Linked DNA regions of Drosophila melanogaster. The protein of the gene in region 2 interacts with the protein of the main gene of each other region in a pairwise test. Each region holds a gene or a part of one and is shown on either strand. Other genes may lie near its edges.

Evidence for each region.
Region 1: the proteins of Sox21b (region 2) and nau interact in a two-hybrid assay, tested with the Drosophila melanogaster proteins (one large-scale study listed by BioGRID).
Region 3: the proteins of Sox21b (region 2) and sisA interact in a two-hybrid assay, tested with the Drosophila melanogaster proteins (one large-scale study listed by BioGRID).
Region 4: the proteins of Sox21b (region 2) and ems interact in a two-hybrid assay, tested with the Drosophila melanogaster proteins (one large-scale study listed by BioGRID).

Annotation. Positions count from the first base shown.
Region 1 is NT_033777.3:23,710,889-23,721,538, reverse strand, and holds nau (nautilus), read left to right. Parts: upstream 1-3,181; 5' UTR 3,182-3,582; coding exon 3,583-4,110; intron 4,111-4,915; coding exon 4,916-5,038; intron 5,039-5,101; coding exon 5,102-5,176; intron 5,177-8,225; exon of another isoform or gene 8,226-8,264; coding exon 8,265-8,343; exon of another isoform or gene 8,344-8,399; coding exon 8,400-8,593; 3' UTR 8,594-8,725; downstream 8,726-10,650. Other genes in the region: CG10232 (uncharacterized protein), read left to right, coding at 115-178, 362-538, 599-769, 826-963, 1,020-1,599, 1,664-2,063; CG10300 (uncharacterized protein), read right to left, coding at 8,743-9,003, 9,073-9,445, 9,680-9,981; CG10301 (uncharacterized protein), read right to left, coding at 10,280-10,534, 10,650-10,650. UniProt on the Drosophila melanogaster protein: May play an important role in the early development of muscle.
Region 2 is NT_037436.4:14,127,381-14,134,953, forward strand, and holds the start of Sox21b (Sox21b), read right to left. Parts: upstream 3,945-7,573; 5' UTR 3,758-3,944; exon of another isoform or gene 3,178-3,757; intron 1-3,177.
Region 3 is NC_004354.4:11,319,878-11,325,663, forward strand, and holds sisA (sisterless A), read right to left. Parts: upstream 2,481-5,786; 5' UTR 2,414-2,480; coding exon 1,844-2,413; 3' UTR 1,702-1,843; downstream 1-1,701. Other genes in the region: l(1)10Bb (lethal (1) 10Bb), read right to left, coding at 4,793-5,133, 5,215-5,308. UniProt on the Drosophila melanogaster protein: Involved in sex determination and dosage compensation. Required for proper expression of Sxl in embryonic somatic cells. Also has an essential function in the yolk nuclei. Involved in endoderm migration and midgut formation.
Region 4 is NT_033777.3:13,897,955-13,905,969, reverse strand, and holds ems (empty spiracles), read right to left. Parts: upstream 4,118-8,015; 5' UTR 3,792-4,117; coding exon 2,657-3,791; intron 2,367-2,656; coding exon 2,017-2,366; 3' UTR 1,350-2,016; downstream 1-1,349. UniProt on the Drosophila melanogaster protein: Acts as a homeotic selector gene controlling antennal and mandibular segment identity.

The DNA.
Region 1 (10,650 bases), on a different chromosome or scaffold from region 2:
GGATATACGGATATACCCAGCTATATTTCCCAGAATTTATAATATGATACATTTTGGCTAATGGTCAAACTTTCATCCTAAGAACAGTCGAAGTTTGAACGTCCACATATTGACATGGTCGAAGTATCTGTTTGCTTTCTTATACAAGGGTTTCTACTGTCGCTGTCATTTGGGCGTGGTACGAATAATTAATAATAGTGTTGAAATAATTTGCTTTTCAGTCATCATTATCATTATCATAATCATTTTAAGAGTTCAATGAAGTTCAAAATGTGCGTGGCAAGAAACACAAAGTCGCACAAATAGCCATTTTTTTTATATTCTGTACACGTATGTATTTCACGGATCATATTTTGTTCAGTTCAGTTGCAGGTTTACAATTCATGGAAAAAGTGTGATGTCAATGAGGACTGTACACACCTTAAAGCATGCCCACCCTTGAAATACTTTCTGCAATCGGCGGATATAAGTTGGGCCAGAGAAGCAATATTGCGGGACAAACAATGTGGTTATAATAGCTACTGCTGCCGAAAAGAAGGTAAATGGCTGACCAAATCGAAGTCTTTTGCCATTATTTTCTAATTTCGAACTTTACCAGGCTATGAAAGAAGATCCAATGAACAATGCGTCATGCTCAATGACTGTCCCCAGTTTAATGGCCGGAAATGGACGAGTGATATTTTGAAATCCATAATAAATAAAATATGTTATATCGATCACTTCCAGCCATTGGTACGAAGAAGGGTCTACGTAAACTGTCAAAGACAAGGTAATGCTTTTCGTATAATACCCGATCTATCGATTACTAATTCTTAGCCCTTACAGAGATTTTTCCTTGCCAATACGATGAGATATGTAGAAGCCGCGATAGCTGCCCTTTTCTAAAGCTTAAACGGAAAAAGGCCCAGAACATATTAATGAGCAGGCAATGCGGCATTAATACCTACTGCTGTCCTAAGCAGGGTAAGTGCAAAACAAAAGTCTATCATTTAACCACTTACTAATCGAAATAGTTATAGAATTTCCAGATTGTCCAGCCGATGAAAAATGCATAAGATTGGACAAGTGTCTTCGTATCCATAATACTACGATGGAAGATGGGGCCAATTTAATGGATAACAGACAGTGTGCCATCGATACCAGAAGAATAGATTCGGATAAGCGCCACTACATCTGCTGCCCGGAACCAGGTAACGTTCTACCAACGTCCTGTGGACAAGCTCCGCCTCTTTATCGAATGGCATATGGCACAGCGGCGAGGCCAAATGAATATCCTTGGATGGCCATGCTTATCTACGAGAATCGCAGACTATCGACCATGACCAACAACTGTAGTGGCTCCCTGATTAACAAACGCTACGTCCTCACCGCTGCACACTGTGTGGTCAAGGATAAAATGGTGAACACAGATTTGGTGCTCAGGAGAGTGCGGCTGGGCGAGCATGATATTACCACCAATCCGGATTGCGACTTTACAGGAAACTGCGCTGCCCCCTTTGTAGAGATCGGCATCGAGTATTTCAATGTCCACGAACAATATTTCAACACCTCAAGGTTTGAAAGCGATATCGCCTTGGTGCGTCTTCAAACGCCAGTTCGGTGAGTATTGCAATATAAGGCATCATTTTCTGACTATTATGAACCAAAGTTTTTATTTCCTTAGATATACCCACGAAATTCTACCGATTTGTGTGCCGAAAGATCCCATCCCCTTGCATAATCACCCATTGCAAATCGCCGGTTGGGGCTACACGAAAAACAGAGAATATAGTCAGGTGTTGTTGCATAACACCGTTTATGAAAACAGATATTATTGCCAAGACAAGATATCGTTCTTCCGCAACGAATCACAAATCTGTGCTTCTGGCATTCGAGGAGAAGACTCCTGTGAGGGTGATTCCGGAGGTCCCTTGATGTTAACCCTTAATAATGATTACCAGGATATCGTATATCTGGCCGGTATCGTTTCATATGGAAGTGAGAATTGCGGAGATAGAAAACCAGGTGTTTACACAAAGACTGGAGCATTTTTCTCATGGATAAAGGCAAATTTGAAGCCATAACTTTCTTGCTAAGGAATCTCGACTAGTGTATGGTGTTTGTTAATATGTGAATGCATTTTGTTTGTATGAGTGAATGTGTTTTTTTTGTGGATTATGGAATTATGGAAAATTCAATCAAGTAGCCAGTAAAATCAAATATGCACATAAGAATGAGTTTTAATATGTATTTTATTTATTTGATTAAATTAATAACACAATAAATCGAATTTACTTAATGATTTTGATTTTTTAAACGTTCTTTTCTGAGTTACATTTGTGCGTTGACAGTACACTGCCCGAAAACAAAGGCCGATAATGATTAAATTTACAATTGGGATTATCGTGTGGCACAACAAATAGTCTTTGCCACCAAAATACCATCAGACCGAATCAAAACAAAGCATCCATCAAAGTACGGCAAGATGGAAAATGTGAGGAGAAAATACGAAATGGAAAAAGACGAGAAGGGAAAAGTGGAAAAATGAAGATGGAAAGTGCTCGAGCAAACCACGGTCCTAAGACAAAAGATTTACAATATCGCTGGGGAAGATTTAAAGGTGATTTCCAAAGATATATATTGTGCCTGAGCAGCGATAAATAAACACAATTCTTTGACTATTTTTATTTCGGCCTCTCCTATTTTATTTATTTTTTTGCTCAATTTCTCGCTTTTTTCTCGGCCGTTGCAACTATAACTCAATAGAAAAGTGGCTGCCATTGATGGGATCTGTGGACGGGGGGCCGGATTTTCCACTAAATGTGTCACATTAACGAATTGTTGAGCTCCCCGAAAGCTAATTTATGCCACCACCTCCCCCACCAACCCACACTAATCGCTGGCCAGGTAAAATTCAATTTATTTGATTTGAACTAAGCCTTTCACAAACACGCTTCACATTGAGCGGAAAATCGCGTTGAAAACTCACGAAAATTAAAAAAAAAAGGGGAGGGGCGTGGCCTGCGGCAGCGTCCTTCTGCCTTAGAGAACCGCCAATGTCGTCTAATGGCGGGGCGCCTCTAAAAATAGGAACCACTCGAGAGCCACTCAGCCACTCAAAACGCAGCAGCATCCGCACTCCGAGAGGATCGCGAGCACATCTGGGGGCCCACGATATCTTGGATTCTTGGATATTGTCACCAAATGTGTTGCGATTGCGACGGAAGGCGGTACACACACTCGCGTACGGTCCGCAAATCGAAGTCGAAAAATATTTTTGAAAATGTCGGAGGTTTTTACAAAGCATCATTAAAGTGTAACCAACTAATTAAGGTTCTATTTTAAAAATCCCGAAAGTGAAACTATAACAAATTAAATTAAATAGAAACCACAGCCTAAAACTTGTGTGTAACCATAACTCATAAATTTGTGTTAATGACCTAGCATACCTAGAAAAAGAGCTTAAACCACGTTAAAAATGGTAATAATCAACTGACTAAATTAACTGTGCCATCGTAATTAGTATCAGCAATTAAATTCAGCAACTTGTTGAACTACCAAAATTGTTTTGTAAAATATAACAAAATCGTAGTGAAGTGAAAAATGACCAAGTATAATAGTGGCAGCAGTGAAATGCCTGCGGCTCAAACCATCAAGCAGGAGTACCACAATGGCTATGGTCAGCCGACACATCCTGGATACGGATTTAGCGCCTATAGCCAACAGAATCCGATAGCCCATCCCGGCCAGAATCCACACCAGACACTGCAGAATTTCTTTAGCCGCTTCAATGCCGTCGGTGATGCGAGTGCGGGAAATGGTGGAGCGGCTTCCATCTCAGCCAACGGATCGGGTTCGTCTTGCAACTACAGTCATGCGAATCATAATCCGGTTGAGCTGGACAAGCCATTGGGCATGAATATGACACCGTCGCCCATCTACACCACCGACTACGATGACGAGAACAGCAGTCTCAGCTCCGAGGAGCACGTCCTGGCGCCCCTCGTCTGCTCCTCCGCCCAATCCTCCAGACCATGCCTCACCTGGGCCTGCAAGGCGTGCAAAAAGAAGAGCGTCACCGTGGACCGTCGGAAAGCGGCCACTATGAGGGAACGCCGGAGACTGCGAAAGGTAGGCATCCCATGCTCACATTACACACATTTTCAGATTTATCAAATATTAAAAACATATTGTGCAATAACTACTGATACAAATACAGCACTTTCATCTTTCAATCATTCATTAAAAGAATGGTTCACTTTAAAAGTAGATTTTTGATTCATTCAATTCATTATTATAATAATAACTTAAAACTGCTTATGGGGACTTGAATATAGGCATACCACTCAGAACTCTGTTCAAGAGTCCTTTTCCATCAGCAGGCTTATTAATCCTCGGTCGATCTTAAAAATAGATTACGCCACAGTTCGCAAGTCCCCTGCGTTTAAGGACTGCAACTTTGTAGTAATTTCATTAGCTCGGCTAGCACCCCACAAATTAACACATCGCCACCAGGGAGGATCGGATCCATTGACATAACGCGCAGAAAGGGAAACCACCCAACATGCGTAAAACATAAACATTTGCCAAGACCAAGAGTTAAACAGCGGCATTTATGAGTTCGACGGTCGTAAAAGTTTTGGATGAACCACACGTATTTATAGCTCCACATAGAGACATTAGTGAAAGGCGGAAAATCGTGGGAGCTCCGGTTAGAAGGGGTATGGTGATGGGGGGCTGTCATAAAGAGACAGACGACGGGCGAACGGCTTAATTGTTGAAAATTTTATGCTCTATTTAATTTAAAATATGTTTTATTAAAGAGCCACTTAAAAGGGGAACACGCCGCGTGTTCTGTGTTTTTATGGCACGCCTAATGGATTTCCATGATTTCAACGATGGCCATTAATTGATTATTATTCCGTTCACATTCTAGGTTAACGAGGCCTTCGAGATCCTCAAGCGACGCACTTCATCCAATCCCAACCAGCGCCTGCCGAAGGTTGAGATATTGCGCAATGCCATCGAGTATATCGAGAGCCTGGAGGATCTGCTACAGGTAAATGAGTGAACTCATCTCACCGCGAATAGAGAATACCATTGGTTAAATTGATTATCTTAGGAATCCAGTACCACACGCGATGGCGACAACCTGGCGCCCAGTTTGAGCGGCAAAAGCTGCCAGTCCGATTATCTGGTAAGTTTTGTCCACTAACCGCCAATTAATATTAAGCCCACAATATCGGCGCGTATATCGTTCCGCAATTATTTTCTCGTAAAATTCTCATGCATGAGCAGCGCTTTCGTACATTTTTCTTTGGCGACGCGCACATTCATCAAAATCTCAGGGTCTGGTCCGTCGCAATGGCGAACATGAAAATAGAATATGTATACGGACGGATCCCCGAAAGAGTCAGTCCCCAAACTGTATCTGATATCTGTTGTATCTGCTGACCGGAATTTATGCGCTCGCTGACGTGCTACTTAATAAGCTACGCCGGCAGCCCATCATCCACATTTCTGAATCACATTCACTCGAAAACCGGGAATATTATGAGTTATGATCGAGAAAGTTTGCCCAGATGTGAGGGGAGCAAACTTTTATCAAAGGAACGGGGGAAAAAAAATTTAGAGGAAAAATAGCTGGAGAATTTAGGAGAATTTACAGGGGAAAGGGTCGTTGTCTGCATTTAGTGAAAGGCAATAAATAAATTTTCTTTTTATAAGCCCGAATGGAAATCGTGTTGTAAATTAATTACAACAAATTCGTTGGAGCAGGAATCGGCACCAGAATCTTCATCCCCATGTTTGGTGGATTGCGACGATCGCTTTTCTGTTTCATAATAGCTTCCCTGCGACGTGGAACCAAAACCGTTGTGGCAGTTGACAAATTGCACAGGAAAAACATGACAAGATCTCGGGGTGTTCTTCTTCGAAAGGTGTTGCAAGATATGGCCAAGTCGTTGGTCATTGAAGGGAAATGAAAATGAATGAAAAATGGGGGGGGGGGGACGGGAGCGGGTTGTACATGCATATCTACTCCCGAATGACAGGGCAACAAATTGTCAACAATTATGCAAACATTTTTGCCATCATCTTCAACGCCCTCTTTTCTTTTCATTTTCATTTGACTTTCGGGTTGGCCTGCGCTGAGTAATTTCCATGCAGTTTGTTTAAGTTTCTCACAATTTTAATGTACAAATTTGTTAATTTACCATAAAACTTAGCGTATTTGTATGTTGACTGCGCCCCCCATTGGCAGATATTAATGTGCGGCCATAGTTTGATTAAAAACTGGCATAGCGCCAAACGTGCAGACATTCAAATGCATCTCAGACCCTGGCAATCCATCCATCTCATCCATATCCATTCATTTGGAGCCCGTGTATTTATAAACCTCGGCGACTTAAGTAAAAGATTTCCTTTTGAACTGTTTCCAACACGAAATGCGAACGCTAAGTTGGCCCATAAATTTCCTTATCGCCGCCAATAAAGTGTAGTACTTGCGATATACAAAAGTGCCACCTTGTCTATATCAGTCAAATTTCTACGTAATGAAATACATAGCCGCAATCATTGAAGTCTTAAGATAGAGCTTTTCGGTGCAAATGACTCACGGAAAGATGTGGGTAACGTGGGTGCAAACCATCCATTTGGACAGTGAGTCAGGATTGATCGGATTCCCTACCATTCAGTTTTTAAACTATTATCAGGTACAGATATGCTACCGAAAACTTTTGTTATCTTTGAATAGCTTTACAGCTACACTATTAGATATTTTCTACGAATGGAAAGCAGTTTATAAATGATATTGCAAATTATTGAGAAGAGATAATTGGTGTGATTTTTATGGTCTAACCACCACTGATAATCTTTATCACACGTCCCCGTTTCAAAAAGTAACTTTTTCAGTTTCCGAGAAAGATTGATTAAATAATTCCGAAAATAAACATCAACATTATTTGCATCTTATTAAAAATGTAAATACATATCTGGCAAGTAGTTCTTGCATTTTTTCGGTGATATTTCCGAAATGGATTATGAGATCTTACGACTGACCGCACAACTCGCAGAGAAGTGGCAATATTTTTAAAGTGGGTTTAGTATATTAAAAGCATATTTCATGGTAAAAACTCATGCAACTTATGGCTAACAAATCGCATAATGCCGCATATCCGTTACACGCTCACAGATCGGAGGAGAACATCTAAGGGGAACGCGCCAAAAAGCGGCTTAAAATCTTTACGCAACCGAAGAATCGGAATGCCCAAGTGATAAGTGGCATTTCATTCAGATACAACGCATGATATATGCTCAAAAAAAAAAAAATAAAATAAAATACACCGAAATACCATAAAGACCTGCAAACAAGTACACAGAAAGAAGTCGGGCATGTCTAAAAATATATTTCGAACATGCTTGTTAAATTGAGAATTTATTTCCAAAGAAATTTTTCAATATTCGGTATTATATTGTCATATAAATAGACTTTATTGCTTTTAACCCAGTTGTGCTATTTTTGTGTAATTTTTCCCAGTGTATCCGCTTGCTGACTGCGGCATATCGAGCGCAGGCTGTCACTAAACGCTTGAAAAAAATGATAAATCGCTTTATAAAAGTGCAGTGTGAGTTCATCTGCTCTCGTTCAGTTTAGTTCACTTCACTCGGCTTTGAATGCTATTCTGTTGTTTTATCACTCCGTACTTTGTTGTCCGCTAAATATAAACAGACGTACATACATATAAGCCATACGGGATGCCCTGTATTTGTCGATCCTTGCAGACGAAGTGACGGCACTTTGGATGCACCAGATGCGGATTTGGGGGGGGGGGGGGGGCAGCAAGGAAACCCACCCAGAAGTGGCAATTATAATTTGCTTAGCATCGGCGTTATAGCGAATTTTTCTAATGAAATCCCGACCGAATCTCCGGATGCCTTGTCTGTCGTCTGCGTATGCGCAAAATTAATTTAATTGCCTCTAAAGTGCACTGCACACAATGCCCCACAATGTTGGGGCAGACAATGGGTGTGGTGCGGTGGTTCAATGCGTTTTAATTGGCCTGTGGAATCTCTTTACTGGCATAAATTTTGGCTTAATCTCATCATTAGACTGCATTCTGTATGGCACTCGTTGGCCAAGTTGACAGGACCGGAGCAAATTTGACGTTGTCATTTCGACGGCGACACTTTTCTGTAATTTATTGTTTCCCCAATTTCGCTTGAGGCCAACTAAAAAAAAAATATATGATTTTTCCATTTGTATTTATTTATGTTTTTCCTTGCAGAGCTCCTATGCTGGCGCTTATCTAGAAGATAAACTTAGTTTTTACAACAAACATATGGAGAAATATGGTCAGTTTACAGGTAAAAGTAAAAAAAAAAAAGTATTTGATGTATTTATCTAAAATATTTTTGTATAGACTTTGATGGCAATGCCAATGGCTCCAGTTTGGACTGTCTAAATCTGATTGTTCAGAGCATCAATAAGAGCACCACGAGTCCCATTCAAAATAAGGCCACGCCCTCCGCTTCAGATACCCAATCGCCGCCCTCATCCGGAGCAACTGCACCCACTTCTCTGCACGTGAACTTCAAACGGAAGTGCAGCACTTAGCACTTAAGTATCAGCACCTTAGGCAATTGTAAAGCTATTTTTAAGAGGATACACGAGATACCCAGTGACCCGAATAGGCCTTAAATTATTTGTATAGCATTAGAACTTAATTAAATGGTAATTCAAAACAGCAACTAGAGTCGTCTTACTTAATCTAGCTCCAATTTGCGGAAGGAACCGCTCATCCCGTCCAGTTCTCCATTGGCCCAGGCACTGGCCAATCCGACGCGCAGTTTCTCATTAGTACCATACTGGGCATCCTTGGCCAGATAATCCTTGCTGTCCAGCAGCTTCTGGCGCCAATGATCCACTGCCTCTGCCTGATAGCCATTGGTGCCACCATACTCGATGGTCATCACATCTCTGGGCAGGTGCTGGTACAGATCCTCCGACTTTTTGTGGACCACGAACTGTGTAGAATATTGTAGAGATTAATTACCAATCCTAACGCAATTCAAGCTTTTTGATGATAGATTCACCTTGAAAGGCAGTTTGGAGGGCAAAAACTTCGTTACAAAATTGAATATGGTTTGTCCCTCCTTGCGCATATTGATCATATGAATCTCAACAAATCGCAGTGGTATGCATTGGTCCACCAGAGCAAATGCCTTCTTCAGCAGGAAGGGATCGTACTGCATCATCTGCTCCATGGTAACATCTCTGGCATCCACAACCCAGATCAAGCCGGAAATCGCGGCATTATCGCACTCCAAAGCCAATAGTTCCAACATTATGAAGATCAGTTTGAAGGCTTCGCGGGGATTCGATTTCTTGGGATCGATGTTTCGGAACTGCGAGATGATAACCCTTGGCCCCTCGGGACTCACAGGTCGCATGGGTATCACATGGATTCTGTTAATTCGAAATAGAAATTAAATAAAGTATCTTTACCTTCTTAACATAGGTCTTTCGTAACACGCAACTAATTTCCAGTCAGAAATTCACATAGATAGTGAATAAATTATTATTGATAATGTTTGTTACGTTTAACACCACTGATTAGAAAGCTGTATTCTGTATGGTTTTGTGAAATATTTAGCAGCCTAAGGCAAAAAGGGTATATAGCAAATGGAACATTCAACCCACCCGCGTTGCAACTGGGTGAGCAGGGCCTCGTCCACCTGTCGGGATCCCAGAACCTCCGGGAACACGCTGCGCAGGGAGTAGTAGTTGTCGAATCGCCGTTTGGTCTCCTCCTGGCTGAAACGGCAACGCCGCAGAAAGGCCAGGATAAGCTGCTCATCCGTGGGCGCCTTAAGGTGCGGCGACTTGGTGATCCATGTCTTAATGGTGGCAATAATCTCCGCTCGCTGCGCCTGCTCCTCGTTGCACTCACTTTTGGCCAGAGCCGCCAACTTTGGGTCGAGAGTTCTCAGGGTGTTCGCCATTCCGGCGCTCGGTTCATTAGTAACTGAATGCCAAAACCACTGACGCAGCGCCGTGGTAGTGATGGTATTGGCTTTTGCGGCGGCATCGCTTATCTAATCGGGGCAACACCTTGTAAACTAGCTGGAACGGCGAGCCGAAACCCGTCGGCAGTCAGTTAGATATAGATACACGAGTGCATAGATAGTTGATAAGTGGGTGTTATCTTTAATTGATCGACTACAGCAGAGTTTGGAATGTTTATATGGATAAACGCTATTGTGGGAGGGAGGGTCTAGGTTTCCTGCTTCCGTGCTGGTATCAATCCCAATTGAGACGACGGAAGGAGCCATTGGCTCCAAATTCCGCCTCATATGTGGCTATTTCGCCGTGCCGCAGCTCCTCAATGGTCCCGTAGTTGCAGTCCTGCTCGAAATAACCACGATAGCTATTCAACAGGTCCTCCATGTAGGCCACACATTCACCCAAATGTCCATTGGTACCGCCATACTCCTCCGGCAGCGATTCCTTGCCAATGTGCTCGATTAGCTCTTCGCTGTTCTTCAGCACGCGTATCTGAAATAAGATAAACATATCTAGCCTTAATTGGTACTGAATCTCTAATGGTTACTTTATAAAAACAATTTTATCACGAAGGTGATAACTTGCTGATTAAGTTATCAATACCCACC
Region 2 (7,573 bases):
TAATTATATCTGAGTGGCTAGTCAGCTAATTAAAGTGGACTGCTTGCAGTATGAATTGAATTGGATTCCTTTAAAATTCATGTAAAAACTTATCAGGTTAATTCACTTTCTAGTTAAAGTTTATCAGTATTACATCTGAATAATCATGATCATTGCTAATCATTTTAATTAGGGAGGACACTTAAGCGTTCTTATTAAAAGATAAATAAAGTGGTTGTTGTTTTCAGTTGGGATAATTCAAATATTTTGTATCACTAAAACGTGGTAATATTTTCAAAAGAAACAATGCCGTTGACACATTTCTTGATCTTTATGTTTAAATCATCTGTTTTATAAATAGCTAAGCTTCTTAAAATAATCACCAAGAAATTATTTAAGTAGCATACATTTAGCATTCTTTGTTTACTTAAGGAGGTAAGTGCGATCCCATATTGTACGTATTGCAAAATGTATATGTATAATAGGGCTTGTACAAGATAAACTATTAGTTGCTTGCTTTTATTAAAGCTAAAGACTTATTAAATTATTTAGAAAATATAATTTTTTAGGATTTACAGCCTATAGTAGATAAAAAGCTACTAAAAAGTTGTTGAGACTCATAAATCTAAAACATAAAACTATTTCTGGATCGTTACGTGTACTCAATAATTTTGGAATATCCTTGGGTTTATGAAGTGGCCAACTGTGGTTCGAAACTATTTATCTTTATCTGTCCAATTCGACTGTTTTTTCTCTGCTGCCATATTCCGCAGTCTCTCTTTTTGGCCCTGTTCATTGGCATTTCTGGCCATGCAACGCATCGTGGTCAATAACTTGCGTTGGGCTATGCGAGGCGACATCTGTACTGCTTCCGGGCATTACCACTTGGTGTTAAAGTAAAAATTGCCCAAGCATGCGTATTAAGCATGAAATTTATATTAAAAGAAAAGGGGGAGCTGGGAACGGGGAGCGGTTAGCAAAGGGACACGCATATTTGTAATCCTTATGGAGTGCAAACAAATTTCTGTGTTGTCAAGTTGCTCTCCATATTTTTGCTCCTCCTTTTTATGTTGCGAATTGGCAGAATACACTGAGAAAAATGAATTGATTATGTTTATTTGTGCCTCCACTCAAGGTATACGCTAAATTTCATATTTTGAAAACACTACGCATATATCAATTGATATGAAGTTGCATTTATGTTTGGATTTTTATTTTCGAACTAATTTAATTTTGTGATTATTCTAGTAATTGAAATGGCAATAAAACCGAAAATGACTATGTGGACATAACACTTGTTCCGATGTGGTGCAGTGTCGCAGTTGCAGTATCAGTTGCACCACAGGGCCACCATCCGAATCGACGGTTGCACCACCAGCTGTGCACAAATTGCACTCCAGATATTTTTATTTGCTGTGAATATGCCAGCTCCTCCTTTTGATTCGCTGCACCTCCACGCAGACCGAAATGCAGCTCCGATATTTATTTGTAACGGAAATGTAACCGTTAAACCCAAAAGCGTGGGTCTTCTCAGGGTGTTAATCTAGTAGCCTTAATAGATAACCCACCAGAGGCACCTTATGTCCGACTCTTTCTCATGGAAATCGAGTGCTGAAGCCGTTCTTCTGTTTCGGACTTCGTATCGTATCGCAGTAGGAGTAAAATTAACCCGCTGGCCACTTGAGTTTCGGGGGCCATATAGATCCACTCGTAACCCCCGACCAAGTTGGCCGTGTTGTTGCTGCTTCGCGTTCATTTGTTCATCCGTTTGTTGGTATGTCAAACAAGAATTATGATCGGCTTAGCCACATGCTGAGCCCGAGATCTCTCCCCCAGCCATATTCTTCTGCTCATTCTTTAGCGGCGAAGAGGAGTCTCGCGGTCTGCAGTCTTCCACCTCGTCTTCAACACAGGTAGAGCTTTAAGTGTCTCCACTTTGTGTTGAAATGTATCGCGGATACGCACCGGGTTTTCGGTCCCAGCAGACCCTCCATTCAAAAGTGTCGTCTTGCCCGCCCGCTGCGATCGGATCTTCTCAGGGCCCTAAGTCGCTGGGCCCCCTAATGTTTGTAATTAAGAACTTTCACACTCGCAACAATCGCCTCGTAAACGTGCCAGTGTCTCGATAACCACATACCCTGCTCCTCCAAGGTTTAGTGTCAAGTTTGTGCCAAGGGCTATCCAAAGGGCTATCGAAAAGAAAAAGAACCGATACAAAGTCAGCTAACCATATGTGTGCTGATACAGCCGGGTATTAATTAGAATTTTTTCATACTCTTCTTTGGATTATGCCTGTTTTTTTGAGCAAATTTATAAAGCGAACACAATGGCCAAAAGAATGGCGTAAAAATATTCGATTGACATCTGGTGCGCAAAATAATTTCAGAAAACTCTGTTTGCACAATTGGGTTTTTTGTGTGCTGGTCCAAAGTCGATTTCTATATGATGGGGGCGCGTCACATTAAATTCAATTGTTGTCACATTTTGTGTAAATATATTAATAAACATACGTTGTTTTTCCCTATTTCTTTTACTATTATTTGCTCTAATTGCGTCATTTCAAATTCTCTGGTGCTTTTGACTCTCTTTTCATTGCGGCTTTTCACATACCTTGAGTCGGTTTTCATTTATATTTCGAAATTAAGTTAACCAAACAACTTTGAATGCCCCTCAGAGAAAGAAAACGAGCTTGCTTTAATTCAAGTGGAAGATCGAAAGCAAAAGTAAACACACCTCGAGTGGGGCATAAAGATTCCGACAATGATTTCGCAGAAAATGAAAAGAGGAAAATCCTGAAATTATCCAAACAATAAAATCTGTTGATTCCCCTTGTATCTGACGCACTCAGACTCATTATGTGGAGCTCTCTCCGTGTTTACCTAATTGATGGTCAAGAAAAGTTGTTCAAATTGCGTTCTGAACGGCGGTGAATTAAATGAAATTTGTAAAGGGTTAAAGGGATTTTTAATTGATTTTTTACCTGCTTTCTGACTTGAAGTAATTTCAATTAACTTGGAAAACAATTTTAAGACTTATGCTCAGTTCTATGGGATCAGACTTTATCATAGATCATATTTTACTTTTACTAAAAAAATGTAAGTAAATGTGTTTATATGTAGTTTTGCTAATTAAAATCAAAGCAGCTAAGTTAAACAACTAACTAAAGAATCCATAATGTTTTGGCTTCAATGAAGTTACCTCGAAGAGTTCTGCATTTCCTTTAAATTTCCCGTTTTCCGGCGATTGGAATCAAATATTCGATGGCAGCATATATGCGGAATATACTACCGAATTATTTGGATAATATGTGTTTATGGTTTGTTTTTGTCGCTTATGAATTCCACTTTCCGAACTGCCATAAAATGTTGAATTTGTTGACTTTTATGGTCTTGAGCTGTTTCGTAACAGAATCTGTTTGACGAACACTTTTCCAATGGATATCACTAGTTTATGTTGACGTGTGTTGTTTGCTTTCCATTCATCGATAAGATACTTATGGTGCATCCAATGTTTTGATGCTACAAAGAATGGAGCTTGTTTGATTTGAAGTTTGCAAGATAAATAAGTAGCTTAGGATTTCAAAACTTTATGAGACTTTTAAATCGCTTTGCTTTATTTGGATTTGTATTTTGTTTCATTTCTATGAGCACTTTACGAGCGTTGAAAGTTGATATCATATGAGCACTGTTTTTTGAATTGGTTTGTGTTTTATTATTTAGTTAAATGGGAAAGAAAAGTTTGGTTTGTTTAGGATTCACTTTTACTTTGGGATATTTACCGAGAACAGTTTGTTTATGTTTTTAGTATTATCCTTTGTATTTTTTTTTTGCGAATATCGGTTGTTTCTTGGCGTTTCTTGTGAGGGGGCTAAAACCGTCGCTAGCTGTTGGCTGATCGGCTCTTCTTGGCCAAGTTGGCTGTTGCTGCATCTAAGCGCGCTTTGGCGGCTATTCAACGGATCCGTTCCGACGCGTAACTAAAAACTTGGCGCGCGCTCTCTTCAAAAACACACGAGCCAAAAAACGAGTCTTTCAGTCACCGAATGGGGCGGGGGGCGTGGCAGGTGGGGCGGTGAGACAGCTGCTATGTAACAGTATCGCTCCACAGAAGCACACACACACATACTCAGCAAATCCTCTCTGCAAAAGCTTGTGTTCTCTCTCGCTCTGGATTAATACTTTTTCCGAGAGCTTTCTTTCTTATTGGTTTGTTAAATGTTTTTTATAAGCCTGTTTATAAAGAAACTACATCCACAACAAATTCAAAATTGAGAGCAAAAATATCGTTGTATTGGTGAGAGAGAGGCCCAACGACCAGGTGACATTTCGTGAAGGAAAGAATAAAAAAAAATCCAAGAACTGCGACGTCAGGAAAAAAAAGACGAGAGCAACAGAGATAAAAAATGTCAGACAGAAAGGGATGCAGAATGCAGAGGCAGGGCGGTCAACCAGAGCAGGTGTTGCGTGGGAGTGCGAGCGAGATAAACGGAGTAGCTACTAAGCCACCATAGCCATTTCACTCTAAACAACGAGTCTCATGATGGGCGTTTCCAATTGGAATGCTTCTGGTTGGGGAAGGTTTCGTGTTACATGAAATGCCAAGTGGAAAATGGGGGTAAAGTGGGGGTCTACGACGGTCTCTTTACTGGTAAGAGGTGCCACCATTGGGAGTGAGCTTTTCGGGAGTTTCTCGATTATTTACCGCATTTGCTTAGAGACCAGCAAAGAGCGTCCAAAAAATAAAAAAAAGGTGAAAAACAAACTATCGAAAGCAAAATCAACTAATCTTAATGGACATTTATTTTTGAATCGAGCTGAACCGTGGAGATCTGAGCCTGACATCTGGCCCGCAACTACGATTCGCCTTTGGCCAATTCCCAAGCTCAAAATGGTGGATATGTTAACCAAGGTGGCCATAGTCCAAAATTGGTCCAGACAGACCACTTTGGGACACTTTATCTTTGGCTCAGACAAAGATTAAAGTAGTGTCTGTTGTAGATTCGCACATAGTACTACATTTTGATCTAAAAAACACGTTCTGTACTGGAATGACAATTAACGATTGAGTGTTTTGACCCACATGAAATACCATTTCCAAAATTAATTTTTTTATATCTGTGCATGATGACACCTGGACTTTAGGAGTATATAGTCCTGCAAAGTGCCTACTATTGCTTTGCAATTTTTCGTGTCTACATTATTGTTTTGTTAATTTGCTTTGGTGGTGGTGGCGTTGCCAGGACAACGGCTCGTAACTCCGGAGTCCCAACTCCATTCGCATTTGGTCGGGCTTTGTTCCAGGACTTTTTGTGTAAAGGGTTTTGGGTGGGCCAGGGCATTACGCAGGTGTTGCCATTGTTTCAGGGCGGTTTTTAGCGCATTTTGATTTCCATTCACTCTGTCGTGTCGAGTTCTGTCGTCTGGCACTTTGGCTTCGTTTTAATTAACAACGAACTAATGACAAATGCAAACAGTGTGTACCTGCTATAAGATGAAACTACCTACTAGCACTCTAATTTAATTTGACTCTAATGACCTAAGCCTTTCCTACATGGGAGATAGTGGAAAAGTCTGAGAAAAGAGGAGTACTTGCTGCCTTTTTGCCAATTGTCAGCAAACAATTGCAAGTTGGAAACAATGGCGCACATTTTTCCAGCCCCAACTTGACGAACTGAGTGAGTGACGAAGGGCTTGCTGGATGGATAGATGGATGGACTGCAACTGTTCCATTTATTTGGACCTGGTTTTCCCCTCTCGCTCTCTCGTCTTCTACCGCTCCCTGTCGCACTCTATGTACTGGTTGTGTCCATTGTCTTTGGCTATGTCCCCTTCTCTTTCGCTCTGTCTGTCTCGCTTCCTCAGTTAGTCAGCCATTGTAATTATACACTGCACTCACCTGAATGCCTAAAATGGCTGTGCTAGCTATTGAATGGGGTTTGTCAGATATTCAAGTTAAATGGATAATTAGTTTTTCGTTAAAGTATGATAAAATACACCTTTTTTTAAAGTTCCCTTCGTAAAAATCTAAAAAATTCGTTATAATATTCATGTTAAGCTACAATATATCTAAAGGTATAATAACCTGAACAGTGAACACTCCGTTGGGGCGAATACAAATTTCTGTTTTTCTACTACCATGTCGACCATTCTCTATCCCTTTCATCACCTTACCCCCTTTTTTCGCAGTGCATTTTTCCATTGTCAGTTTCTGTTTTCTGTTTGTCTATCTGGCCATTGTCTGTTTGTCATATTTATCATGGCAGTTGCTTTTGCATTTGCCATAGCATTCTCTGCACTTGCAAATAAATGTTAATGAGTAGTTAGACAAAAAGCGCTGACAATGCACCGACTGCAACTTAGATAGAGAATATTGTGATGAGAACAGCCAGATGGGGGATTTGCCATCTTGTTGAGCCCGTCTTCAAGGCCCTAAGCCTGCAGAATGAAGCTCAACAATCGCAACGAAAAAGATTTCAATGGAGCTCTAATGCCTAAATCGTTATTGTTGGGGATGGATAGGTTGACGAGGTGGATGAGGCTTCCACACACTCCTGACAAGCTCCTGTCGCGGTGAATTGAAAATTTTCTAAAGACCAGGACAACAATGGGGGCAGAGATGCCGCCGTTGCCATGTAAATTTTTGCACTTTTTGTCGCTCATTAATGTTAATCAAAAAGCAAAAAGCACGAGGAAAATCATTCAAATTTTCGGTTGTGTTTGGCAACCGCTTGGGACTTCTAAAAGAAGCCCTTTCCCCTTCCGCAATATATTTCACCGTGCGGATTTTGCTCTGCCCTTATAGATAAACATCGGATACAATTTCATAGGCCACAAGGCAAACAGATTTGGTTCAAAAACGATCGAAGCATCGAAATCAGCATCGATCCATCGATGGCCAAACAATTGTCGCAAACAAATGAGATTGCCATCGTCGAGCCTGAGTGCGTTTAATCCTTGCGAAACCTTCCAGATTCACATCGCAAACAATGCCCAGATTTGCAGCAAATTGATAAACCAAAGGAGAAAAAAAGACCGTACGAAAACTGACAAAACCAAATGCAGTTATGACACACCGATTGATAGGCCAGATAGCAGATAAACAGGAACTCATATGGTTTCGGGGTTTGTTCTTGGGACATGTGGGGAATTTCGTAGAAAGACCACAAAAGGTACACGTTTTTTTCACATCCGTGCATCTAGAAAAAAAAACTGTTGATTAGAACTGTTCAGCAGATGAAAATTGGTCAGATAGAAACTATCTAAATATCTTGCTCCAGAGGAAAAGAATGAAAATAAATACTTAAAATTTTAATACATATCCATTGTATTTTAATACATATACATATTGTAGTTCAATATTTTTAGGGGAAACATATCGAGACATATCGACCCAGACTGCCTGTCGGGCTGACCAATTGATTAGCGGGGCTACCATTTTCTTTCTTTTTTCCTTATGATTGTCCAACGATTGCAATCAAAATGCTAAATCATGTTGTTCACAGGCCTTCGAAAACCAGTTGTTTAATGTCCCAGACATGTTTAAAAAATGGTATTGGAATGGTCTTTACTAATGGACACGCAGTCTGGTGTAGTAG
Region 3 (5,786 bases), on a different chromosome or scaffold from region 2:
TGAAGCAATTTTACTTTTATGTGTGATTGCGTGATAAAGATACTTTACTTCAGTTACATTCCTTTGGATACTTTCCTTTGTATACATTCCTTTAGATACTTTCCTTCAAACACTTTCCTTCAGATACGTTCCTTCAGATTCGTTCCTTCAGATACTTTCCTTCAAATACTTTCCTTCAGATACTCGTCTTTAGATACTTTCTTACAGAAAACGATATACTGATCTGTTTTGCAGCGCCATCTACTTCTGGTAATACTACCCATTTTTACCATAGCATCTGGATGGCCTTCATCACTCCCGGTTTTCTTTTCATTTCTGAAATTCTTCGACTGCATTCAACACAAACGAGCTGAGCTTTTATGGCCGAGCGATAAAATCAAATTGAAGTTCTTTTCCGGCACTTTACAAGAGGGAGTGAAAGAGAGAGCGTTGTGCGGGAAGAAAGAGATGGGTGAAGTGGGTGCAAAGTTTCAACCATTTAGTATTATGACAAACAGTGGTGGACAGCACATTAATAACTGTACTCAAATATTGAAAATTATTTCAAAAGTTTTCCGTATTTTAAAGTAGAAAAGTCTTTTTTTTAATTTCATTTAATATACATATATTTGTAGCTCATAATATCGCCTTTAGGTAACAAAATTAATGCTGTACCACAGTTAGGTACACGAAGTACCTTTCCCCGCACTGATGACGTTGAATCGCTGAATTGTGTGCACTTGAGTGAACGAATAAGAGTGAGACGTGCGTAGTTAAGAAGCAGCAACAGAAAGTTGGAAAATCCAGGGAAATGGGGGGATAGTGGGGATTTAGCCGGAGGAAAACTGCAGCGATGAAATCATTTGTAACCTGGCACGTGAAAATGAAATTTTTGAGCGAGCATCAGCTTGAAATTCGATTGGCCATTGTGGCGAAATGCGTTTTATACTCTCGTTTTTACATTCCTATTATTTGCTCCTCCATTCATTCTTAATGTTGTGCTATTAAAAAATATCTGTGAACAGTAGTAACGACTAACTGATACCTAAAGAGTTGAAAAGATACGGCGTGAAATAGAATAACTTTTTGGGGTAAAAAACAATCAGAAGTATCTATATTTATCCTTCTCATTACGCAGACATCAAGATATTATGAGAAATTACTTAAAAAATATATGTAGTTATTAAAATTATATTGTATATATATATACATAGTATATACCCTTGGCAAGCATTTAGTAAAGCTTCCAAGTTCAGTTCGCAGTTCTTAAATGAAAACACCAACCAGAAAGTGGGGTGCTATTTGCAGTAGTAGCCCCACTAAATTTAGCCACAATCTCTTACAGAAACCTGCTCTTAAGGCCATTACTTCCATTGCATTTGCTGCTTTTGGCAACGCAAATTGTTCGCAAGCCAAAAAAAAAAAGGGAAAAAAAGAATGGAAAGGGGGAAAAACGTGAAACGGGGAAAGCGAAGTGCAATCATGTCGGATCAAATGAACTGAACTTAAGCAAGTCGAAATGGGTGCATTGCATTGGCCCAATTCCGATGGGATTACCTTCGGCCAGGCGAAGGAAACCCCAAGACTGCCGATGCGTTAAATGCAGAATAAATGCATCCAAATTATGGGAAATTCTTGTAAAGTGAAATTAACAAGTTATCCTTGACTCCATATGATCGTGTGAACCTATAACAAATATTTGAATAAGAAAGCATTCGTTTTCAATATGATTCTTAATTTTATTTAAAAATTTAATAATATGCTTAGATAAATACTAGATATAGTCAACAAAAAAAAAAAGTGGTATGGCTAATGCTGGACTAGTCAGGGATCCGTTCCTGCGACACATAGCTACACTATGATATCACTGCTCCATTTCCAGGCCGAAAGTGGCCCGCATCCGCTCGAGTGTGGCGGCGGGATATCCCCGCTCGAGCAGCTGCCTCTCCGCCTGGGCAATCACATCCCGCATCGTGTCCAACATGACGGCGCTCTTCTTCAGCTGCCCGCTGACGAATTTGTGCCGGAAGCGCAGCTTGGCCTTCTTGATCTTGTTGTTGTAGCGGGATTTGCGGCACGACTCGGCCCTCTGACGCTGGGCATCCTTGACATCCGAACCAGAACCGGAACCTGATCCGGAACCCGATCCGCGGCAATCCATAGCAAGCTCCGTTTTCAGCGGCGGCGGTGCACGGCGCTCCACAACAATGGGATTCTCCAGGAGCATCTGGTCTACGTAGCGTTGCTCCTCGTCGGCGTAGTGCATTTTGAGATGATGCAGCTGCTGGGACACCAGCTCCTCGATCTGCTCCGGCTTCGATGATGTTGACGATGCTGTCGATAGTGCGGGTGAACTGCTTCCGCGATACGGTGCGTATACGTGACCCATGGCCGCGTAGCTCAGAGTGGGCAAGTAAAGATGACTCCGTTCCATGGTGATTTTTTTCGATGTGTGACGTGGTCTGTGACTGCTCTCGTCGAGATTTCGTGTGCTAATGCTGCCTTAGGCAATATGTCAGCCCCGTTTTATACCATTTCCGCAGGTAGCTTGCCATTGGACACTGGATGGGTTATTCGCGGGTTCTACCTTCATGAATGGCGGTCACTGGGATTTATGATCTTGTTTTCCTCAATCTTGTCGCCTTGCTGGACACCGCCTACCTGCATCCGGATTGGCCAACGAATCGCAGATATGTAAACAAAGGGATTAGGGTAGCAGACGCACTGAGTCTACCTGATAATTGGTCAAATTTAAAAACAAAAGGATCAGGTGCGAACCAATATGTGGGTTTCTTCAATGGCTACCTACATACATATGTATGTCGGTATGCAAATACTCCCCATAATATAAAAGATATTCTAAGCCAAGAGATACGATTCAATGCAACTGATAAGGGCGTCATTAAATCCACAATAATCCCAAGGTCAAGCTGGGCTGTTCGTCTATCACCATCCATTTGCCGATTCGCGCCTTATCTAGCAGCCGAAATGAGTCAACAAATGTTGGGCTATGTGGAAAATCAACCTGCTTGGGCAAATACGAGCATGTCAAGCGGGTGGGATCAGGCGGCATTATGCGATAAGAGACACCAATATCGATTGCCATTGCTACCTGCTAAAGTTGCTATTTGTCCATTCCGGATCAACCCATCTGGAAGTGGGTTTCCCGCATCAGGTAGCCATTTCAAGGAGCCACTTTCGACGTGGTGGCAAACAAGTTGCGGCTTGTTGTCGTGGGATTAACCAGCCGAACCGACCGCATTTAGTCTATTAATTAATTTAACAGCCCTCGAAACGATGAGGGGTTCAGCGACCTGCTTAGCAGGCCTCAAAGGGTTAAACCAGAAATCCCTTTGGCTGAGAATAATATGTAATAGAGTTTGGTGGACCAAACTCAAAATCCATAAATAGTTGCTATCTCTGGCTGATGTAATGTAATATTTAACTAGCAATATTATAGAACAATATGACGCAAGCAGCAACTTATGCTAATTAAATAACCAATTAATTGTTGAACAAAAAGCAGTAAAATGTTATAACACTGCAAGTACCCAAAATATACTTTCCACTTGCTCCATTTTCATGTATTTCAATTTACAACGCTGCACATGTGTGCCACTCGAATTACATAACTGGCATAAATAACTCCGCTGGGTAATTGGCAAAACAATTGAGTATTTTTAGTGACCGAAAGCAGTTTTAATTCGAAATCCCCCATTTCAGCCAGATGGGGGCAAGCTGTCAGCGGCAGACGGGCAATAATTTTTCCATTTTTCGCATTTTACCATTTTCCATTCGGCATTAACCATTTGCCATGTGAACAATAAAATCGACAGCGCCGCGTTTGTTTGGCAAATGAGAAAATATGCAGACAAGTATAATTAAAAAACCATTTATAATCATTTTCGACCAAATCCCAATTGGCCACCCAAAACCAAACCAAACCCCGCAGGAACACTTGAAGCCTGACAGTTTTCAGCTTGAGAATAAGTTGGGAATGCCGATGGCCGGAATACTCTAGCTGAATTGGATGACTCAAGGAAATATGTATATACTCTTATTTCTATATACTCAAATGTTGAACTAGGGCTTCCATTTTCGGACAATAAAGAAACACTATACCCTTAGAAAGAGTACTGAAAATCGAGGAGCAAGGCGACGATAAATGGACGCACATGAAGGAGACTCCGCCACATCCCCGAAAACGACATTGAGTTTGAATTATGTCAGCGCAGCAATAAATTGTCCAAGGCATTAAATTAAAATATATGTATGTATAGTATATATCGTTTAAAGAAAAGCTGTGAAATCATTAGAAGGACGTACGTAAATTGCATATTTTACTACAGAAATTTTCACAACTCACATATTGAGATGGCTAGATTATAAAAAAAGGAATATATTTAAGTTAATATTCAAAACTCCACTTCGACATATGTAGGAAATTTAATTTATTAAATGCTTTTAAACATTTTCATAAATTATAATCTTTATTTATTTGATTAAACTACAAGTTAATTTCTATCTTTTCTATACATTCTAATACAAAAATGTCTGCTCATACCATTTCTACATTTTTTTTTAAACAAATCGGAACGCATTTCCCAACGATGCCTTGTCGTTTACATAATCGGTTTATTGCAGCATCTATTTAGATGTTTAGCATGCCATTAACCATAATTGTGGCTTGTATTTAAATGTATTTACATACTATGAAGAAATCAGGCGAAATCTAAAGTTGAACCTACTGAACTATGTATTATGAGGATTATTTGTGTCGAATAAAGATGCCAATAATGCGTCCACATGGAATCTAACCGGAGCAGCCGCGACAACCGCAGTGGACACACTCAACGATCCGACCCTCTTCCAGTTTGCATTTGGGCACCCGGCATATGCAGTTCGTGCCGAAATTGGTGTCCCTCGTTTGAATGCAGCGCAGGCAGCATAGGTTCTCGTATCCAGACTTCTTCCACTTGGCAATCAGATTGCCATCGGCAATCTTCTCCTTCAGACAGTAGTCGTACAATTCCCGGCTGATGGCTTTCCGGCGATAGAATAGATCGTAGATGTATCGTGTCTTCTGGTGGTGGATCTTGAAAATGGGCCAAAGGGATTCCGTAATGCGTTTGCCCTCGTGCGGTTCCGTTTCGGCTGTTTAAGAAGGTTAATAATATACGTATAGGATTATAGTAAAGTTTTCATTATCACAGAAGCCGCCACGCTTGTCCTTACCTTCGCGCATTTTTTGCTCCAGTTCCTCGAGAGTTGGTTCGATCAGCTCCCAACCGTCTGGCGGTGGTTTGCGACTGCGGCGAACCTTGGGCATCTTAAATGTTCAATTTATTTAACTGTAAAACTGTTTAATTTCTCTTAAAAATGCTTAATTTTGCTTGAAAAACAAACATTTCACAAACAGCTGGCTACTTAGCGATGACACTTTCCACATGGGCTGTCCACAGCATCAAACGGTTATCGAACACTCACTATCGATAGGCCGTGTCTAAGCCGATTGGCGATAGCACTTTATTGTTTTTGTTGTTTTCCTTTTGGGAGACGCGTGTGTGTGTTTTGCGTGTGATAATTTATTTATTTTCCCGTTCCGTTTGTTTATGCACTGTAATTTAGATTCAGTTTTTAGCACAGGCGCAGGAGTAAGTAAAAATTAACATAAAAACAAAAACCAACAACAAAGCGAGTAACAATTTGTCGAAGTGAGTGCGCAAAAGTGCTGTGCTTGTGTGTGTGAGTGTAACACTTAAAAAATGGTCTAAAAAAGCAAGAGATTCATTCATAAAAAATGCAAC
Region 4 (8,015 bases), on a different chromosome or scaffold from region 2:
ACAGCCAACAACTTACCAAATTGTGTTTTAATTTCCGAGAATTATCAGCAAGGGATTTCATTCCGATTTCGGCTTTCGTTTTCTCTCCGTCCCTTTGCGCCAGTGTGTGTTTTGTTCTACAGAAACATTTGAAGAGTGATATTGGATAAAGGAGGCCAGCAGATAAGCCCCCAATCCCATATGCAGGGGGCGTGCCCCAGCCCCATTATTAATTACAGTTCCCGCTCGCGATGGGCCGTGTATCTTGAATCTTGAATTGGAATCTCGAAGTTTCCATCAAAGGTGCGTGTTTGCTAAGCAAACAAGACTTGCCATTAGCTGAAAGGTTTATGGCTAAAGCCGCGATTTCGATCACCGATGAAACATATAATTTGCCCACTCTGATTTACGACTATTGCAATTGTAAGCTTTGTGTTTGCAATAGATAGGTTCCCCCAAAAACCCCCCCTGATTTCAATACTGAAGGGGGGGGACCTTTGACAGAGTGCCACAATTTAGTGCTGTTAACAGCTAGTAATTAGACTCGTTATGTCCGTTAATTAGCCATATCAGCCGGACCAATCTAGTTTGCAGTTTGCCCATTGCAATTAGCCACTGCATATTCATTAGGCCACATTCGATAGCCGATTTCAGTTAGCTGATAGCCGATTTGGCGATAATGAAAACTGCGCTTATATACCGCCACAGTTTTCGCATAAATTTGTGGTTCAATAATCATAAATTTGGCTTTTAGATCATTAGCACACCTCGAGTGGCTTGTTAACCAGTTTCCAAAGCCACCCCAACCCCCAAAAGCCCCCGTTCAGCATCCACCCCCGCCCCTTTGATCTCACACGAACTGCGCTCAATTAAATTCTACAATAAAACACGATTTGCATTTTAAATTGTGCAATTAAAATGCTTATGAAATCTATAAGAAATAACGATCGCTAAATGCATTTTATAGCCGCCTCCTTCAGCTATCCCGCTCTTTTCAGTCGCGGCCGCACCCCCTCAATCCCCTTTTCCAGCGCACCTGTCACCATTTCCAGTGGACAGAAACAGCAACAACAATGTTAAATGTCACACGCTAATTAATTGACGGCGCATAATTTTTTACTCTGTCACACAGTGGGACGAACTCAATTAAAAAGGGGCGGAGATGCCAAGGCTTAAACAAGAAAAAATAAACTAAAGTAAAATATTGTTGAAGGAAAGTAATAAAGCTGAATGAGAAGTTAAAGTTCACACCCATAACTCAAAACATACCAATATTGTTTAAATTATAAATAAATTATCTAGTATTCTGGATAATAAGTGGTTGCCCCCAACACATAAATCAATCAAACATTTCTCTTTCGATTTCTTTTCATAATGAATATTTTATATTTTATATGATCATATTCGTTTGTGTTTCTTACAATCGTATTAGCTTAGGATGTAGTTACTAGCAACTAGGGCTTTATATTAGACGGCTTTAAATAATATCCAGCTGCAGTTGAGGGACTCTAGAGGTTCGTGCTTAAGACTAAACATAAATAAATGCTAGATCGTCATACAATATACAAGAATTATACAATAGCTAGTGGATCGAGTACGATTTGTTTTGAAGAATTCACTAATTAAAAGTAATGTCATGAATATTTACAGGCTTAAGTCATAAAATTTGTACAGTTATAGTTGGTGGTGTCTAGCCTAGGTTTATTTTTTCAGTGTTTCTTTTTTTGCATTTGATATTTGGGAAAGAAAGGAAACAACTTGCATTCTTTGAGCTCTACTCAACCTCGAAACTTCGCAAGGATTTGGCACGGATCTTGAGAGAGAAGTGTGGATGGAGAGAAAGGGTCTCTAATACTTTCCTATCTATATACACTTAGCCTAACGCCTTGGGATCGCTCTAAGAATATATCACAACAAAACAAACTATGTTACTCTCGCCGAGATTCGACTGGGAACCCTCGATAACTGGAACTGGACTGCATTCGCCAGGATAAGGAACTCACGGACCGCCGCAGGACTATCTCCTGGCCGCTTCTCTCAGTGGCTGGCGTCCAGCTCGTGCTCCTCATCGCTGGGACACTCGTCCATCTCCATGTCGATCAGTTCGTCGTCGTCCTCGTCGCCGCTGCCGTTGTGCATATTCCGCTGCGATCCTCCCTCGCCGCCCTTCTCATCCTCCTGCTGCATCCGCTTGTGCTTGGTGCGTCGGTTCTGGAACCACACCTTCACCTGCGTCTCGGACAGATTGAGGTTTTGGGCCAGGGCCTTTCTCTCTGCCCCCACTACGTACTGGTTGCTCTCAAAGGCGTGCTCCAGCTTCAGCAGCTGCGACGGCGAGAAGGCGGTGCGGATGCGTTTCGGTTTGCGGAACGGGGGCACCAGGAAACCTTGAAAGAGGCAAAGAAGAAAGGGTTTCGGTTAGTCATCGGTATTTAAGATCATAACTCACAGCAATAAATTAGCAATGACAATATAATGCAATTATAAGAGACTCATCAAAACTAATTTAAAACATATTAGCATCTTTCATTTCTTATTACATTTATGAAGGTTTAGAATTATTACTTTAAAGAAATTTCTCATTTTTTGGCTTCAATTTGGACTCCAAGAACTATTTTTTTCCCTAAATCTCCTTTTTTTGTTTCGCATATAAAGAATCATTCCAAAAGATACTTACTTCCAGGGAATCGGTGTGGGAAGATCCTTCCATGGCGGCTGAGCAGCCAGGGGTACAGCTGATAGCTATCCCTGGCCATGCCTGGATTGGGCATAAACTGGGCGGCATGGGGCGGCAGGCCGGCGGCAGCAGCGGCGGCGGCCGCTGGACCAAGCACATGACCCGCTTGCAGGGCGGCGGCCATCTGGAACTGGGCAGCGGCAATGAGATGCGGATTGTGCTGAGGCGGCAGCTCCGGCGGAGCGTTGATGTAGGGCGGCAGCGCCTTGATGTCCGGCAAGCCGGGCTGACCCTGCGGCATCGGTGGTCCTCCGGGTCCCATGGGAAAGGGGCGAACGAGTCCAGCGGGCGGCATGCCCGGCATCATCATGGGTCCAGCTCCTCCGGGATGCATCATGGCGGGCTTTGGATAATTCGGGGGCGGCTGCTGCTGTTGCTGCTGTGGCGGTGTGGCATGTGGACTGCTGATCAGCAGAGTGGGCGAAGACGAGGGCTGCGAGGACTGGGGGCTCACGGATTTGGGAGGCGTGTGCGGTGGCTGGATGCGCTGGGCGGGATTCTCGGCCTGCTCCATGGCAGGTGGTGCAGGTGAGCGTTCCCGCTTGAGGGAGACGGCCATCTGGGGCTGCTCCGTTTCGGGGGAGAGGCGTGTCTGCAGCGGACTCAGGCCGCTGGCCATGGCGGCATTGTGGTGCAGCCTCTGCAGCAGCTCCTGAATGTCCTGGTGGCTCTTGGGTGTGCCCGGATGTTGCTGCTGCATGAGGAGGTGCTGGTGGAGCACATGTTGCTGCGCAGGCGATAGATGCGGATGCGGATGTGGTGCCTGCAAATGCTGCTGCTGAGCATGCGGATGCGGATAGGGCAGTCCGTGGGCAGGAGGAGCCATCAGATGGTGCGGGGGCGAGCCTGGGATCAAGGTGAGTGTGGCTGGTGGCGTTTGGGGCGGCGAACCGGGCACATTGCGCTCGCCGGGCGGCGGACTCTGGGGACCGGATAGATCGGGCGTCGAATTGCCGCCGGCGGTGCTGACATCATTGCCCACAATGGACTCGATGCTGAAACCGATCTTCTGCTTTGGTGTGGGCATCATGACGGCTGCAGCGGCGGTGGGAACCGGCGGAATCATCTTAGTCATAAATACGGCGGTTAGTTCGGCTATGTTGGCGGCTTTTTTTTCGAGGGTTTAAGCACGGTTTTCTGTTTAATCTAATCTGTTCTGTTTGTCTAATCCTCTGGGAAGTCCTTATTTGTAACTCTCTATGTTTCGTTGATTTTCTCACACTAAGCGACGCATTGGAAACGCTTTCATATATACGTTTAGTTACTTTATTAATCACACACACACTCGGGTTGTCAAGACTTGTGCTCTACGGCGATCGACGCGCTCGTTTTTCTTATTTTTTGTGTCGGAAGACGGAGAATATAGACGTGTGCTCTCGACGACGTTCGATGTCTGAATAAATCCGGTAAGCCCGGCAACACCACCAAGTGTGCGCTACTCGAAGAGAGCTGAGCTGCGGCGAGTCTTCTCTCTTCGCCAGTACAGGCCAAACCAGTTTATCGGGCCAGAGCGGGAGGCACTGTGCTCGGTGTAGTATGGCCGTCTTCTTTGCGCGCGCCTTGTGGATTTTATCTACCCTGCAGATATGGCCTAGCTGCGAAGGAGCGAGTGAAATGGCTGCTTTTCGAGGGGCGGGTCCAGTTCGGTGCGCTGCCTTTACCGAATTTTCTGCATATGGCTTCCGTTCAAACAGCCACCACTATACGACTTTGTTGTTGCTCTTGGCCTTTGTGTAATTTGGCTTAAACTGCCATTCATAGTTCTTGTTTTTGCGGTTGCATTTCTGGGCCGGAACGAGCGCTAAATGGAAATCTAATGCCAGGTGGGCAAAATGTCTCTGTTTGCGGACTCTGGCCAAATTTGCAGGAAGTTCGAAAAGGGTTTTCGAGGCTTACAGAGGATGTGCGTTTTAAATATTTCCCTTGCTCAGGGGGATTTTTGTTGTGCAAATTTATAGTTTAGCAAGGATTTGTTAGACGCTCTTTATATATTTCTGCATAAAACTAAAGATTAAGGAATATAAGTATTTTGTTAATGGTGTTTTTAAAGTTCGTAAACCCCATTCAACAACATGGCGTAAAATTTATAATTTAAAATACTTATTTAATTTATGATATTATATATTAACTTTCCCTATTTTAAAACGTCCCGGTTTTCGTACAGCTGACAATCCAGTCCACATTAGCAATTCCACACCACGGATGCACTTCAAACTTGCTGTTTCCATAAATCATCTACGAAACTTGATCGGGACAGTTTTATGAAATGTGCTACCGGGTTTATTTTTCGCTACGATTTAAATGTTAATTTTCAGGCATTACATTTTTTTTTTGGCACACGACAAAGTTTGCATAATTTATGTAGTGTCCGAATCGCAGTTCCAAATCAAAATCAGAGCAGGTTCATCAATTGTCGGGACGTGCCAAATGTCTCACTTCGTTTCCTCGGTCAACACTATAACATTTCCTATCAAACCCCAAGAGTTTTTCAAAAACAATGGAATAATATTCGGTAGTGCTATTTTCACACTCTGTTATCAGCCGGAGCCGTCAAATTCGTCGCCGGATTTCTGAGATTAATGGGCTAGGAATCGGCGAGAGCACAACAACAGCTTGTGCGATAGATTAAAATCTATCAAATTTTTATGGCCGCTAATTAAGCCACGCATATTTACCCATAGCTTTCGGTTCGAATCGACGCAAGGCATAAACAACTTTCGAGTCCATTAAAGCGTAATTATGTTGACTAATGGATTTTGATTACAAGGCGAAATGCTGTCGAAAGTTCAGCGATTTTTAGCTGAGTCGGTTTCATTTGCGGTCTAATCTGCAAAACGTGTGTGTAGCTAATTCGATTTGAAACTCGGCATCTGAGCTTTAGTTTTGATTTTGTGAAAGCTTCATTATAAGTAAAAAAAGTATTGGTCGAAATGATAAATATTAAATATAAATATCAAAAATATTAAATTAAATAAATATTTAGAAGTAATACTCTGATATCTATTTAATCAATTGTGGTTAGAAGAATCCTTGCAATCAGACGGCCAACATTTCGACGAATCAAGCATAATTGAGTTGAAAGAAAACGCAATTTACCTTGTATTTTCGGTAATTTCACACGCCCACTGAGCTGAGTACCTCACCGCAGGAGCTCCAGGACTCGAAGGACCTGCAGCCAGCACAATCGTGCTGCTAATGAGCGAATAAAGATATCCTCTGGCCGCAGGACCAGCGGCAGTCAAGTGGCCAACTGGAGGACTCGGCAGTTGATGACCCCCCGCCAGAGTTCGCAAAAAGGAATGAAAACCGTAAAAAATGCAGCCAACAAAGGGCACAAATGCATTTATTAGATGGAAATAAAGAGGAACACAATGCAGCAGCCCGAAAGGTGTCAAAATCAACAATTTTCAGCCTGCAAACAATTCCACAGAAACCGAGGCACAGCGTGATGCAATTTCACCTATTCGAACCTCCCTCCATCCAGAAAATAAATCTACAGTATGCCAGTCCAATTCCCGATGCCAGTTCAGCTGAAAATTGGATGGAGAAAAAAAAAAACAGCAGTTTCACTTTTTGTCTTTTCGTCGATTTTGTTTTTTTTTCTGTTTATCTCGCTGGGAAAACAATGGAAAACGTGGCAAATTTTCCTTTGTTCGATTCGATGGCCAGAAATTGTTGAGTAGCAACAAAACAAGGCAACAGAAGACGAGAAAAATTGACTTTAATGATGATGAGTTGGCGTTTAGAGTGTGCGTTTTGGATTCATTTGAATCGAGTGTGTTTTCAGACCCATTTTCTCGGTTTTTCCAATATATATACTTTGTGTTATTGGCACAAACTCGGGGAAAACTCGATGGGGGAGCGAAGCGTTTAAATGTAATTAATTTCTGGCAACTCGATTGAGGGACAAGCGCCATCGCTAACTGCTTTTCCAAGAATACCATCGATCGATTTCACAGCTCTGCGTTATTTTCATATTTTACCCAAAACGATCTGCCGATAATTTGGGCGCTTGTAAATCCACGCGACCCAAGAAATTATGATGGATCGGCATCGAATTTTGTGGCCACATTTTCACGCGTTTTTCTTGTAGGGAATGGGAAAATTTGACTTGGTAGCAACTGACCGACGTTTTCGGGGGCAGGGGGGCGTGTCAGCCCTAAGAACATCAAACAACTGTACAGTGATGAGCCTGGCGTTTTCCAGGAAAACGAATTCCAGAGGAGCCCAAATCCCATTTGGAGAGAATAGCCCAGAAAAGGGTGCATCAGACCGAAGGATCGGATCATTTGGAATTTCAGGCACGACATATCGGAGCCAATCAAGCTGGACGTATTTCGAGTTACCACAAAGCCGTAAAATCATATTAAAACACAATTTCTGGTCCAGCACCGCGGTAGCGGGCCAAGATCATAAAACATTTATATCTAATCCTTGACAATCATAAAAAATACACAAACGACACGATGCAGCGCAGGGAAAATCTGACAAGGGCCAAGTGCCAGCGGCGAAAAAGAAATGTTTAAAATGTCGGAAAAGTGCTCGAGAAAAATAAGAAAGGGCGGGCGGCGTGGAGAAAGCGAATAAACAGTAGTCAGGGAAATGTCATAAAAATGTCTGATTTCTCCTTGAAATTCCCGCAGCCCCAAAACTATGCACTGGGAAAAATGCAATAGGCATTAAGAGAATATTTCAAGAATACTTGGTTAAAATTAGAACAGTTTTATATTTTATATTCGTATAAACAAAAGAACTCTTTTGATTTATGTACTGTGATTGTACTTACACTTATTTCTCACACTGTATCGCCTCCGCTTAGTACGTGTGTGCAAAACAGTGGAAAATAGTGGAAAACCATTCCAAATTCGAGGCATTTTTATGACACTTTCCGTAACGGGCATTCGAGCATGGCCAGCAGAAGGACAACCAGACAATCCTTTTGCGGGCATAAAAAATATGGTAGTTGCCGAAATAAAATCAACGTAATGTTTATGACTTTTTACCGGCGCTGCCCCACGTACCCCCCACTCCCCTGCTCGTGATGGCCCTCCTCCTTTGACCTGGCTGGTTGACACTTTCGTTTTGGTAATATTTTGGCTGACAGGCACTTTTGTTCGTGTGTCATTATCGTTTTGCCCAGATCCGGATGGTCGAGCGGGATTTATGAGCAGGCGACATGGTACGATTAGATCAAAACGATACAAGGACCTTTGTACAGTGAGGTCTTGAGATTTAGTTGTTATAGATAGTGGAGAAAATGCAACAAACTATTTACCAACGTGTATGTTCCCAAGATAGT